Alligator mississippiensis: one gene and its partners. The protein of the gene in region 3 interacts with the protein of the main gene of each other region in a pairwise test. Links are inferred from orthologs where the notes say so. Each region holds a gene or a part of one and is shown on either strand. Other genes may lie near its edges.

What was found.
Region 1: the proteins of JUNB (region 3) and BATF interact in binary tests that used the Homo sapiens proteins (3 or more experiments, as listed by UniProt). The link is inferred for Alligator mississippiensis from reciprocal best matches to the Homo sapiens genes JUNB and BATF.
Region 2: the proteins of JUNB (region 3) and BATF3 interact in binary tests that used the Homo sapiens proteins (3 or more experiments, as listed by UniProt). The link is inferred for Alligator mississippiensis from reciprocal best matches to the Homo sapiens genes JUNB and BATF3.

Annotation. Positions count from the first base shown.
Region 1 is NC_081825.1:261,468,047-261,471,791, reverse strand, and holds the start of BATF (basic leucine zipper transcriptional factor ATF-like), read right to left. Parts: upstream 2,717-3,745; 5' UTR 2,159-2,716; coding exon 2,093-2,158; intron 350-2,092; coding exon 245-349; intron 1-244. UniProt on the Homo sapiens protein: AP-1 family transcription factor that controls the differentiation of lineage-specific cells in the immune system: specifically mediates the differentiation of T-helper 17 cells (Th17), follicular T-helper cells (TfH), CD8(+) dendritic cells and class-switch recombination (CSR) in B-cells.
Region 2 is NC_081824.1:189,585,918-189,589,662, forward strand, and holds the start of BATF3 (basic leucine zipper transcriptional factor ATF-like 3), read left to right. Parts: upstream 1-1,226; 5' UTR 1,227-1,412; coding exon 1,413-1,490; intron 1,491-2,160; coding exon 2,161-2,265; intron 2,266-3,745. UniProt on the Homo sapiens protein: AP-1 family transcription factor that controls the differentiation of CD8(+) thymic conventional dendritic cells in the immune system.
Region 3 is NC_081831.1:22,791,850-22,795,124, forward strand, and holds JUNB (transcription factor JunB), read right to left. Parts: upstream 2,378-3,275; 5' UTR 2,365-2,377; coding exon 1,228-2,364; 3' UTR 521-1,227; downstream 1-520. UniProt on the Homo sapiens protein: Transcription factor involved in regulating gene activity following the primary growth factor response. Binds to the DNA sequence 5'-TGA[GC]TCA-3'.

The DNA of each region.
Region 1 (3,745 bases), on a different chromosome or scaffold from region 3:
GCCTAGAGGAGAGCATCCCCTGAGGAGATGTCCAACAGTGCCCACAGTTCATCTGGAAAGAAACCTTTTGGCCCCTTGGCAGAGCTACCTAGTCCCTGCTCTCCAGCTACTGCTAGTGCTGTCAGTAGCACCCTACAGTGGCCCAGGCCCAAAGCCGAACTCTGCTGCACTCCTTAGTGCTGAAATACATTCCCTAATGTGTGCATGCAGTGATCTGGGACAGGCTGAGAAGGGAGGTTCTTACCAAGTGAAGCGTATCTGCCTTCTGAGTCTGCCTCTGTCGGCTCTTCTGGGCAGCAATGCGGTTCTTCTCCCGTCTCTGGACTTTCCTCATGTCGTCAGAAGAGTCCTGAAACACAGAGAGCCTGGGAATGACATGGGCATCGCCTCCCTTCCACTCCCACAAAGGCACAGGGGCGGGGATGCGGGGGCAGCACAAAACAGCCCTGAGCCAACATTCCTCTCAGCAGAGATCACGCCAGCCTCTCCCCTGCTCCACAGAACATGCGCTCCCGTCTGACACACAGCATCAGCTTAAGACCAGGTTGGGGTGCTCCTCTTCTGTACAAGGCTCTTGACATCCCAACCCTGGGGCAAGCCTATGACTCTCCATGTTCTGACAGAACAGGGAAATGAACCATCACAGGCTCCATGGTTCAGGTCTGAAGAACCACAACAGTGAGAGACCAAACAAAACTACCAGCTCATCTTCTCTAGCCCCAGGAGAGCCACTGCTCAGCCCTGCTAGATAAGCTCAACTTTTTCATCTTTTCCCAGAACTTGGTCCCTCCAGGCCTCCTAATTGTTGCAGCTGCTTTCTCTGAGCTTCCTGTATTTTAGTCTCTCATCATTGATCACATAAGGCTCAGAGCTGGCTGCAATATTCCAGGTCATATCTGCACCAGTTACACAGATACAGCTCTTTTCCTGGCCTGGGACATGAGCCTCTCACAACAGCAATCCTCTGCTGAGCTGTCACCATCCCTGACAGCTAGAACTCCCTCCAGACCCTTTCATCTCCTCCCCAGATACTGGCATTGATGCCTCACTGGGCTCACTGACATCTACACCGCCCCCTCCCTCTCGCCAGGGAAATGCCGCCACTAAAGTTCTCTCTGGCCTACCAATCTGTCCACATCCTTCTACCCCACACCTTGTGATCTTTCCATTTCATCACAGTTCAACTTCTTGCCCTTCCCTTCAGGGCCTTCCTAACCCCACCTCTGGCAGGTCCGCTGGCTGGTCTCTTGCCACACCAAGCTCTGTTCCAATATGCCTCTTGAATACTTCTCCCTTGATTGCTTTGTGCTTGCTTACTTTCCTTCTTTCCCTCTCTCTCATCCAGCACACTGAGTGCCAGCTCAGGCCTGTCTGTCCAGGGCCTGTCTGGGAGTTCCTCAGGGTGACGACTCTCCTGCCCCATGCCATGTTGTTGGCACTTGGCAGATAATGTGTGGTAAAATTACAAATATTCAGAGGGGCCAGAAATACTGGGGATACATGTTAAATGAAGCTAGTGTCTGGCCATGGCAGGCATGCTACAGGGCAGATGGAAAGATATATGGAAGAGGCCAACTCACAGGACTTCTCCATCACACACCACTCACTGAGGAAGAGTTTAAGGGGGCTAACAGCAGAGCATGTACAAAAAGAAGCCCTGGACAGATGGGGGCAACAACCTCCAAGGGAGGCAGGAAGGATTCAAATTCATCAAAAGATCTTAATTATATGGGGGGGAGGGCATGCTCAGAGCACATGACAGACTCTGACCCCTGAGGGGTCTCCCAGTTGGCTGGATGCCTTGTGCCTCCACATCCAGCAGCAGGGGGTTCATAAGTCCTCAGGTGCCCTGGTCTAATGAGGTTCCTTCTCGCTCTGTTCAGTGATTGATGTCCCTGGTCTGGAGCTTGCCCCTGCAAGAGAGCTCTGTGCCTCTCCCTGGGCTGGTTCCTAGAAAGCCCTGCCTCTCTGTGCAGCAGATGAGGGCATGTCTCCAGCCCTCACTGAGGATCCCCTCCAATGCCAGCAGCTTTCTGCCCCCCAGGAGCTGACTGAAGAGGAGAGCCCAGAAGCAAACAATTCAAAATGTTACCTGCTTGCTGGGTGGGGGAGACTGGCTGAAGCTGCTGGAGTCACTGCTGTCCGAGCTATGGGGCATGGCTCCTGCCTCCCTCTGCCAAGGCTTCTTTGGCTTCCTTTCTGTCCTCTGTACTCTTGGTGTCTTCTGCTATTACTCTCCCCTCTCCTGTGTCCTCTTTCTCCCCTGGGAAATCTCTTTGCCTCTGTCCCCCAGCCTGTCTCTTTGGCAGGCTGTGGCTCTCCCTTGCCCAGTATCACTTTCTCTGCTGTGCGCCCTGGTCCTGCCCGGTGTCTCTCCTCTCTCAGAGTAATTGCACTCTGCAGTAATATGTCAGTGTCTTTAGGCTCTGGCCCTCTGTGGTTTCTCAGAATATACGGGGGATGCAAGCTGAAAGTCACATGGGCGGAAACTTTAGATGAAGAGTTGCATTCAAAAGAAAAAAAACACGCATCTGGGAAAACGAGCTTCAAAATAGCCCAGAAAAACCCCAACACCTTCGAGTGGTTTAAAAACAGTGGTGAGATGGGTTTCTACAGAGAGCAAACAGCAGAACGGGGGAAGGAGAAAAAACCCCTGCGCCGCCTGTGAAACTCAGACCCTCAAAGGAGGCTGGGGAGGCGGGGAGGAAGTGCTTGCAGGAACTGCAGAAAATTCCAGAGAGGCAGGGGAAGCAGAGTCGATTGCTCAGGTGTGTACATGTGAGCAGTAAGCCCCTAGGGCTCCCTTTGCTGTCCTCTCTGAACTCCTCACTAAGCCCTACTGGGGAAATTCCCAAGCAGATTTTTATTTTCCACCAAACACCTAACACTCAGTGCCAGGGCTTGCAGACCCCAGGAAAAGGCTGAGAGCTCTTGGCAGACTTGCTTACAAGGGATCTGATATGTTGTGGGTTCAGCAACAACACTCTGGACATTGCTGCGCTGAACTAACAATTATTTATTATTATAACTCTCTGTAATCATATCCAGGGTGGATCTTAACAACTGCATCAGTATATGCATACAGATCTTATACCTGCTCTGCCTCTCACTTGACCCGCTCCAGTCCTGCGGAGGGAGAGGAACCAAGGATGCCTCTGGCTCCCCAGGGCAGAGAATATGGAGTCCCCAGTGCTGCAAAACTGCCAGAAACAAGTGAACCCTGCAGTGCTGACTAGAAGGACTTTGGCCTTAAAGGGACAGTACAAGGAAAACACAATAAGACACAACACCCCTCCCCCCAGACAGAATAGTCAGCCAACCATTTGGGAGGACTCCGCTTCCACTATGGTCTTCCCATAGAACCAGACTCAGCGAGGGGTTCAGTGGATGACAGCCCTGTCAGCCTATCTGGAGACTCAACAGCAACGCTTCCTTTTGACAGCGATGGCAAAGGGTTTGCACTGGTGGAAACAGGTAAGCACTTCTCCAACGAATCCATGTCTGTCGGTGGTAGATTGGTGCTTGGAGATTGCTCAGGTATAGGGTTATTAGTAGAAGAACGCCCACGCAGCTGGTCCACGTGGCGTCTCCAAACTTGTTCATCATCAGTCTGGCCTGTGTATGATACAGGTCCTGTGGTGCTTACAATTTTAGATTGAACCACTTTGGGCCTGTCCCGTAGCACCGAGCAAACACAGTTTCTTGTGGAACGAAAAGACGTAAGGGACCAGATGCCAATGCAGAG
Region 2 (3,745 bases), on a different chromosome or scaffold from region 3:
TTTGGCACCGGTAAGGCCACATCTGGAGTACTGTGTTCAGTTTTGGGCCCCCCACTACAGAAAGGATGTGGACAAATTGGAGAGAGTCCAGTGGAGGGCAATGAAAAGACTAGGGGGCTGGGGCACATGGGTTATGAGGAGAGGCTGAGGGAACTGGGCAAATTTAGTCTGGAGAAGAGAAGACTGGGAGGGGATACAGCAGCCTTCAACTACCTGAAGGGTGGCTCCAAAGAAGATGGAGATGGACTGTTCTTGATGGAGGCAGATGACAGAACAAGGAGCAATGGGCTCAAGCTGCACCAAAGGAAGTTTAAGCTAGATATTAGGAAAAACTTTCTCACTAGGAGGGTGGTGAAGCACTGGGCCAGGTGACCCAGAGAGGCAGTGGAATTGCCATCCTTGGAGATTTTTAAGTCCTGGCTAAACCTCCTATTCCCCTGGTGGTAATGATGTAGCCAGGGCTGATCCTGCTCTGAGCAGGGGGCTGGACTAGGTGTCCTCCCAGCCCTCATGTCCTAGGAGTCTGTGAAGGGTCCCAGCAGGGCTCAGTGCTTGAACTCTGCGGGCTCCTGTTGGAAATCTCTGGGTTTCTCTTCTCTTGTGAATCAGGCTTGCACAGAGCTCACCCGGTGGTGGGGCATCCTGCACCACAACACCCTCGAAAGGATCCCAGGGGCCCTTGCCAGGGTGCTGTGGGGCCCTTGTGGAGCACCCCAACTTCACGCCTCAAGAGGGCCTTTCAGACACAGGGCAGCGCCTCCTGCGGCACCACAGCTGCTGGAGGGGGGCCGGGCCGGCCGGGCCCTGCTCTGTCTGCTCGGACTGCCAAGAGGGAGCAGCAAGCCACGGCGGCTGCCCTGAGGTGCAGGGGCTGAAAGAAGCCCCCGGTGGGTGCTGACGGGAACCAGCCCCGCGTGGCGCTGCTGAGAGGAGCCGGGCGTGTGTGTGCACGTGCGTGTCGGGGGTGGGGGTTGTACGGTTGTTGAGGTGTGTGTGTCTCGGGGTGTCTGTGTGTGTGCAGTGCAAGGGGGGGGCGTCAGAGGGTGGGTGCGGTTCAAGGGGGTGTGCGTCAGGGGGCGTGTGTGTGTGCGGTGCGGGGGGGCAGTTGTAGCTGTGTGTGTGCACGTGGAGGGAGGGCTGTCGGGGTGTGTGGTGTTCATGTGTGTGCAGGGGGGGCCACGCGGCCACGTGACTTCCACGAAGGCGGCGTGGGGCAGGCGCCGGGGAAGCCCGGCAGTGCAGTGCAGTGCAGTGCCGTGCCGTGCCGTGCCGTGCCGGGCAGGGCCGGCCGGGCAGGAGCGGGCGCCAGGTGCAGGCGCTGCCGGGATGCCGCGGGGCGGAGCCTTCCCCTAGAGCCGGCCGGGGCGGTGCTGTGGGCTCCCGCCGGCGGCGGCGGCGGAGCAGCGGCCGGGATGTCGCACGGGCTCCCGGCCTCCGGCAGCGTCCTGCAGCCCAGCGCCTCGGCCGGCGGTAACCAGCCGCCCGCACAGGTAGCGCCCAGGGCGGAGCGGGGCGGGGCAGGGCATGGGCGGGGAGGAGGGGGTGCCCCTGCCCCTGCCCCTGCCCCTGGGGCCGGGCGGCAGCAGCAGGCAGCCCCCGTGAGGGCGAGGGCTGTAGCTGTAGCTGTGCTGGCAGGCGGCCTCCCTGCCCCCCGTCTTAGCCTCGGACCAAGCGAGGGTCGGGGTGCGGAGTCAGGGGCTCTGCTTTCCTGGCGCCCGGCTGTGCCTGTGGCTGTCTGTGCTGCTTTGAAAAAAAAAGTGGATGTGAAATCCTTCCTTGGGCGATCCCGGAGAGTTTTGCATCCACTTTTCAGACAGTTAAGGCTGTGAGAGGCAGGCGGCTCCTGCTTGGGCTGCGGCATTGCTGCCCAGCCTGGCTCAAGGAACTGCTCATCTCGACAGGAGCAGAAATGCTTGGGACCTGTGAAAGTGGGGCGCTGCGCCCTTGCGTGCCTCGGTTCCCCTCTCTGTACAAAGGGTGCGATGAGAGTTGTTGCCACTTGCAGAACGCTTTGAATGCCCGGTGTCAGAGTGAAGCACTGTCACCGTGACCCATGGATTTGCCTCCTTGTTCACACTAAAAATGATTTCCTTGCTTTAAAATCTCAATTCTGTTTTATTTTTTAAAGAAAGCTCAGAAAAGTGTGGGTTTGTTTTCCAGGGTCATGAAGAAGATGACAGGAAAGTAAGACGGAGAGAAAAAAACAGAGTGGCTGCCCAGAGAAGCCGCAAGAAACAGACGCAGAAAGCAGATAAACTGCATGAGGTGATGGACACCTTTATGTTCTCAATTTGTCTTTTTTCGGTGCTATGTCTGGGATTTAACAGTACCAGGAATTTCTTAAATACACGTGGGGGGTTTTTTCATACTAATTTAGTGAGAACAACTGTGGGTGTGGTGGAGAGATGCATGAGTTTCCCTGCCACATCATGCAGGTGGTCTCTGTAATGTAATACTTTGTTTCGGACACTGAATATCTGCTGTTGGCTGGAGGTGTAACAATCACGAGGTGGAACAATTAAGAGATGGTAGCTTACAGGCAAAGCTTCTTTTCCAGTTCCCAAAGGGAACTGAGGTATGAGGGTTCATACTCTTATGTAACTAGGTGTTTTCATTATCTATATAAACATTGATCTTTTTTAAAATTGTCTTGTGTTCTCTGCCTCAGTAATGCAGTGTGACAGAGCTTACTGGGTCTCCAGTTGGAAAGCTTATAGAATAGCTATTTTGTTTCTTTTCTGTAACTCTCAGTATCCAGTATAGCAGGACTGCTGATGACACTGTAATATAAACATTCAGGACTTCAGCTACTAATGCTTTTATGTAAGTGATATAGCGCTCAAGGTCCCATTCAGCCAAGCATTCTATCTGTCTTCTACACTGTGTAAATAAGAATTATCCACAGAAGATGTTTCTATTATTTCTTTGTCCTTGGGGCTGGTAGAAAAGAACAGGAAAAATTACAAGCATCACCACACCTGAATACAATTATACCTAGAGGGGAAGCACCACAGTTTTTTGAGTTTTTCCTCTCTTAACACGTACAAGAGCTTGCTTCAAAGCTCCTCTGCAATCAAACAATAAGCTTATTGCCATATGCAGTTTCTTTACAAGAGGGGCTCAGGATTGGAGTAATACACATTGGACAAGACTCGGATGCTGTAGCAAACTGTTTAGAAATCAGCATAGCAGCTGGCCCAGGTAGCATCTGATTCTTTCAAGTGTTCTTATGAGCTTCAAATTCCTTCAAATTTAAATGGATGAATAATAAAGACATCTCAAGTGGAAGAGAGTGTATTACTTTTGTTAAGTTGCGTGATACTTTCATTTTTTCAGACGGGAACACATAGTGACTCATGATTTTCTAGCATACTTGCTTGCTGGTCATTGTGGCTGGAAAGCTAAGAATTATCAAGAAAGTGCTGTTAGACCATGTTCAGTTGAAACTAAAGACCCGAAATAAAATTATTTTTGTTTTTTACTGAAACCAATACTGTCGGCAAGATGGCATTGTCCAGCATTGGACAATATGCCAGTTCACTTTATGTGGAAAGAACTTCAGCAGACTGTCCAAGTCCCACATGCACAATGTATGATAGCTGTGAACAAGGGGTTCACAGAAACTTTTAGGTCTTTTTCAATCATCAGTTTATACAATAGGTACTGTAAGAGGAAATGTAATTCCTCTCAACAGCTGCTTTTGGCTGCTACCAAAACCAGAGATTGGGCCCAGTAGACCCCAAGG
Region 3 (3,275 bases):
TAACAGGGGGGACCCCCACTTCCTAGGGGATGGGGAGCAGGGAACTTCCCGGAAGCGGGCCTGACCCCGGGAAACTCCCCCCGGGCTGGAAATTGACGCGATCCCCGGGCCCCGCGCCCCCTGCCCGGCAGCGTGGGCGGGGGTTCCCGGCAGCCGGGTGCCCTGACGTCACACGCCCGGGCGTGACCATATATGGGCCTCTTCCTCTGCGTCACCGGGGAAAGCCCCCCCTCCTTACAGCCCTTCTAGCTCGCGATGGGCTCAAGCTGGGTGGAGGAGCGCGGTGGATACGGCCGGGGAAGAGACCCCGCATCTGGACTGGGGAAGGAACCCCCTCCCCGCAGAAGGAGAAACTAAGACACGGGGCCCAGGCCTGACTGAGGCAGAGACACAACCCGGTAGCTCCCTCTCCATATCCAGAACCCCCTAGCACCCCCTCCCCTCATCAAGCGACCCCCCCATCCCTATAATCCAGCTCCCGCCCCCCCAAATCAGAGACCCCCAGAGCCAAAACACGTCCTTTTATATCAAGAAATGTTTCTTTTTACTTAAATAAAAGTGTCCATTAAAAAACAAGAAACAAACAACAACAAAGCAGTAAAACAAGCCCCAAGGGGCTCGTTATTATTAATAATAATTATCATTACTTTTTTTTCCCCATTCCCTCCTTTTAAAACAAACATAAAAGGGGGAAAAACATGGTGAAGACTCTGCCCAGTCAAACAGTCAAACAGACACACACACACACACACACACACCAATCCAGAGGTAAAAAGAAGGGGGTGGGGGGGATAAAACAACATTCCTAGCCAGTCTCTTTGCTCCCCACATTGCTGAGGGGGGTCAGTCCAGGTGGAGAGGAGGTTATCTAGGGTGGGCTGTCTGTCCGTTCCGGGTTTCAGCCTTCGTGGTCCAGCCCCCTCCCCCCCCTTCAAGGAAAAAACAAAACAAAAAAAGAAAAAAACATCGAGGCCTAACATATTGCACCGTCCAGCCATGCAAAGAGGCCCGCTGGCTCCTGCCACCTACCGCCGCCCGGGGGCCAGTGCCTGCCGCGTTCTCCCGCGGGAAAAGTCCCCCCCACCCCCCCGCGCTAACTTTATCCGGCGATAAAGTCCCGGCTGGGAGAAAGGGGGTTGGTGGGGGTGGAAAGCTTGGTTTCAACCAGCTCCGGATTCGTGGTGAGGTGGGCAAGGGGGGCCTGCCCCCTTCCCTAGCCCCCCCGGGTTAGAAGGCCTGCATCTTGACAGCCAGGAGGAGCTGGCAACCGCTGTTCACGTGCGTGAGGACCTTCTGCTTGAGCTGGGCCACCTGGTCGCGGAGCAGGCCGGCCGTGCTGGACAGCCCCGCGTTCTCCGCCTTCAGGCTCTTCACCTTCTCCTCCAGCCGGGCGATGCGCTCCAGCTTCCTCTTGCGGCACTTGGTGGCGGCCAGGCGGTTCCGCAGCCGCTTGCGCTCCACCTTGATGCGCTCCTGGTCCTCCATGTCGATGGGCGACAGTGGCGGGCTGCCGGGCGCCGGGGCCGGTGGCTCGGGGACCGTCTGCGGCTCCTCCTTGAAGCCCTGCGGGCGGGGGTAGCCTGGGGGCAGGTAGCTGAGGTTGGCGCTGGGGTAGGCGGTAGCGGCAGCGGGCGGCGGGTAGCTCGTTAGCGTCGTGTAGACAGGCGCCGGCTCCGGATGCAGGGCCGGGGCATAGGCGCTGCTGGCCGGGGCAGCTCCGAGTGACACGTTGGGCGGCGGCAGGTGGTTCAGCTTGTGCAGATCGTCCAGGGCCTTCACGAAGCCGTCGGCGAAGCCTTCCTGCTCCTCCGTGGGGCCCCGCGGGTAGAAGAACTGACCGGGCGGCGTGGGGGTGGTGGTAACCACGCCGTTGCTGTTCTGGATGATGAGGCGCTCCAGCTCGGGAGAGGCCAGCTTCAGAGAGGCGCTGCCGGCTTCGCCTAGCCCCGCCGGGGCGTAAAAGGCCCCGCCGCCCTCTTCCGCCCCGGCCCGGAGCTGCAGCTGCGCCTTGAGGGCCCGGTACGGCTTGTAGTCAGCGTGGGAGCCCAGCTCGGCCCGGCCATAGCCCGTCAGGAAGGAGTCGTCGTGGTAGAAGGGCTGCTCCATCTTCGTGCACATCCACCCGGGGCACGCGGAGCCCGGGGGCGAGGCCGAGCCGGATCCGGTACGAAAGGCCCGGAGGAAGGAGAGCGGGGGGGTTGGAGATCTCACGCCTCGGAGGTTGCAGGCAGTCACCACCTCCTCTCCCCGGTAGCAGCCGGGTCTCGCGGGGGAGCGGCGCAAGGATGCGGGCGCAGGAAGGGTCCTGGGCACTGCGCACCAGCCACCGTGTGTCCACCCCGGCACCACTCGAGTCAGTGTCATGCGCTGCAACCGCTGCCGGGGCTTGATATACTCCCCCCGCGCGCCGGGCCGGCGGAAACGCGCCTCGATTGGCTGGCTCGAGCGAGGCCACGCCCCCGCCGCCTCTTCCACTGAGCGTCCCACCCCTCCCGAGTGGGTGGGGCGCGTGGGAAAAGAGGGGGGAGGTCCACGCGGGGGGGCGGGTAGTTGTCTGCTACCGACGTTCCCACACGGGTCGCAGCGGACCCACGTAGGGACACGGGGTTCAAGGACACGGCCGCGGCGGGGGTCATGCGGAAGAGCAGGGTAGGGGGCACCCCTCCCCCCCCCACATGAAACCCAGGAGTCCTGCCTGGCAGCACCCCCGGAGAACCCAGGCATCCAACACACCCCCTCACACTCACATCTGGGACACACACACATTTACACAACATACCCCTCTGCATCTGGCATACACACGTGTGCACACACACACAGGCATCTAGGACACATACACACACATACAGAGGCAACTAGGGGACACACACCCATAGAACCAAGGTGTCCAACACACACACACATGCACCCAGGCATGCACACACAGGTATAACCCTGGCGTCCAGGACACACACATGCATGCACATGCACACTGACATTACACAGATGGAGATACAGACACACACATGGAGTCTCGTACACAGACACACAGTCCACATGGTTGCAGACACACACACCGCCAGACACAGACCCCAGGGTGGCAGAGACGCACACACATACACACACATCACTAAGACAGGCAAAGACATGTGGAGCCAAGGGACACATATGCACACGTATACCTGGAGACACACACACAGGGAATACTGGGGAGATCACATGAATACAGAGACATGAAGAAACTCTCATGGGCACACATGAAGCCACATGGACACAGCCACATACACACTCTGAGA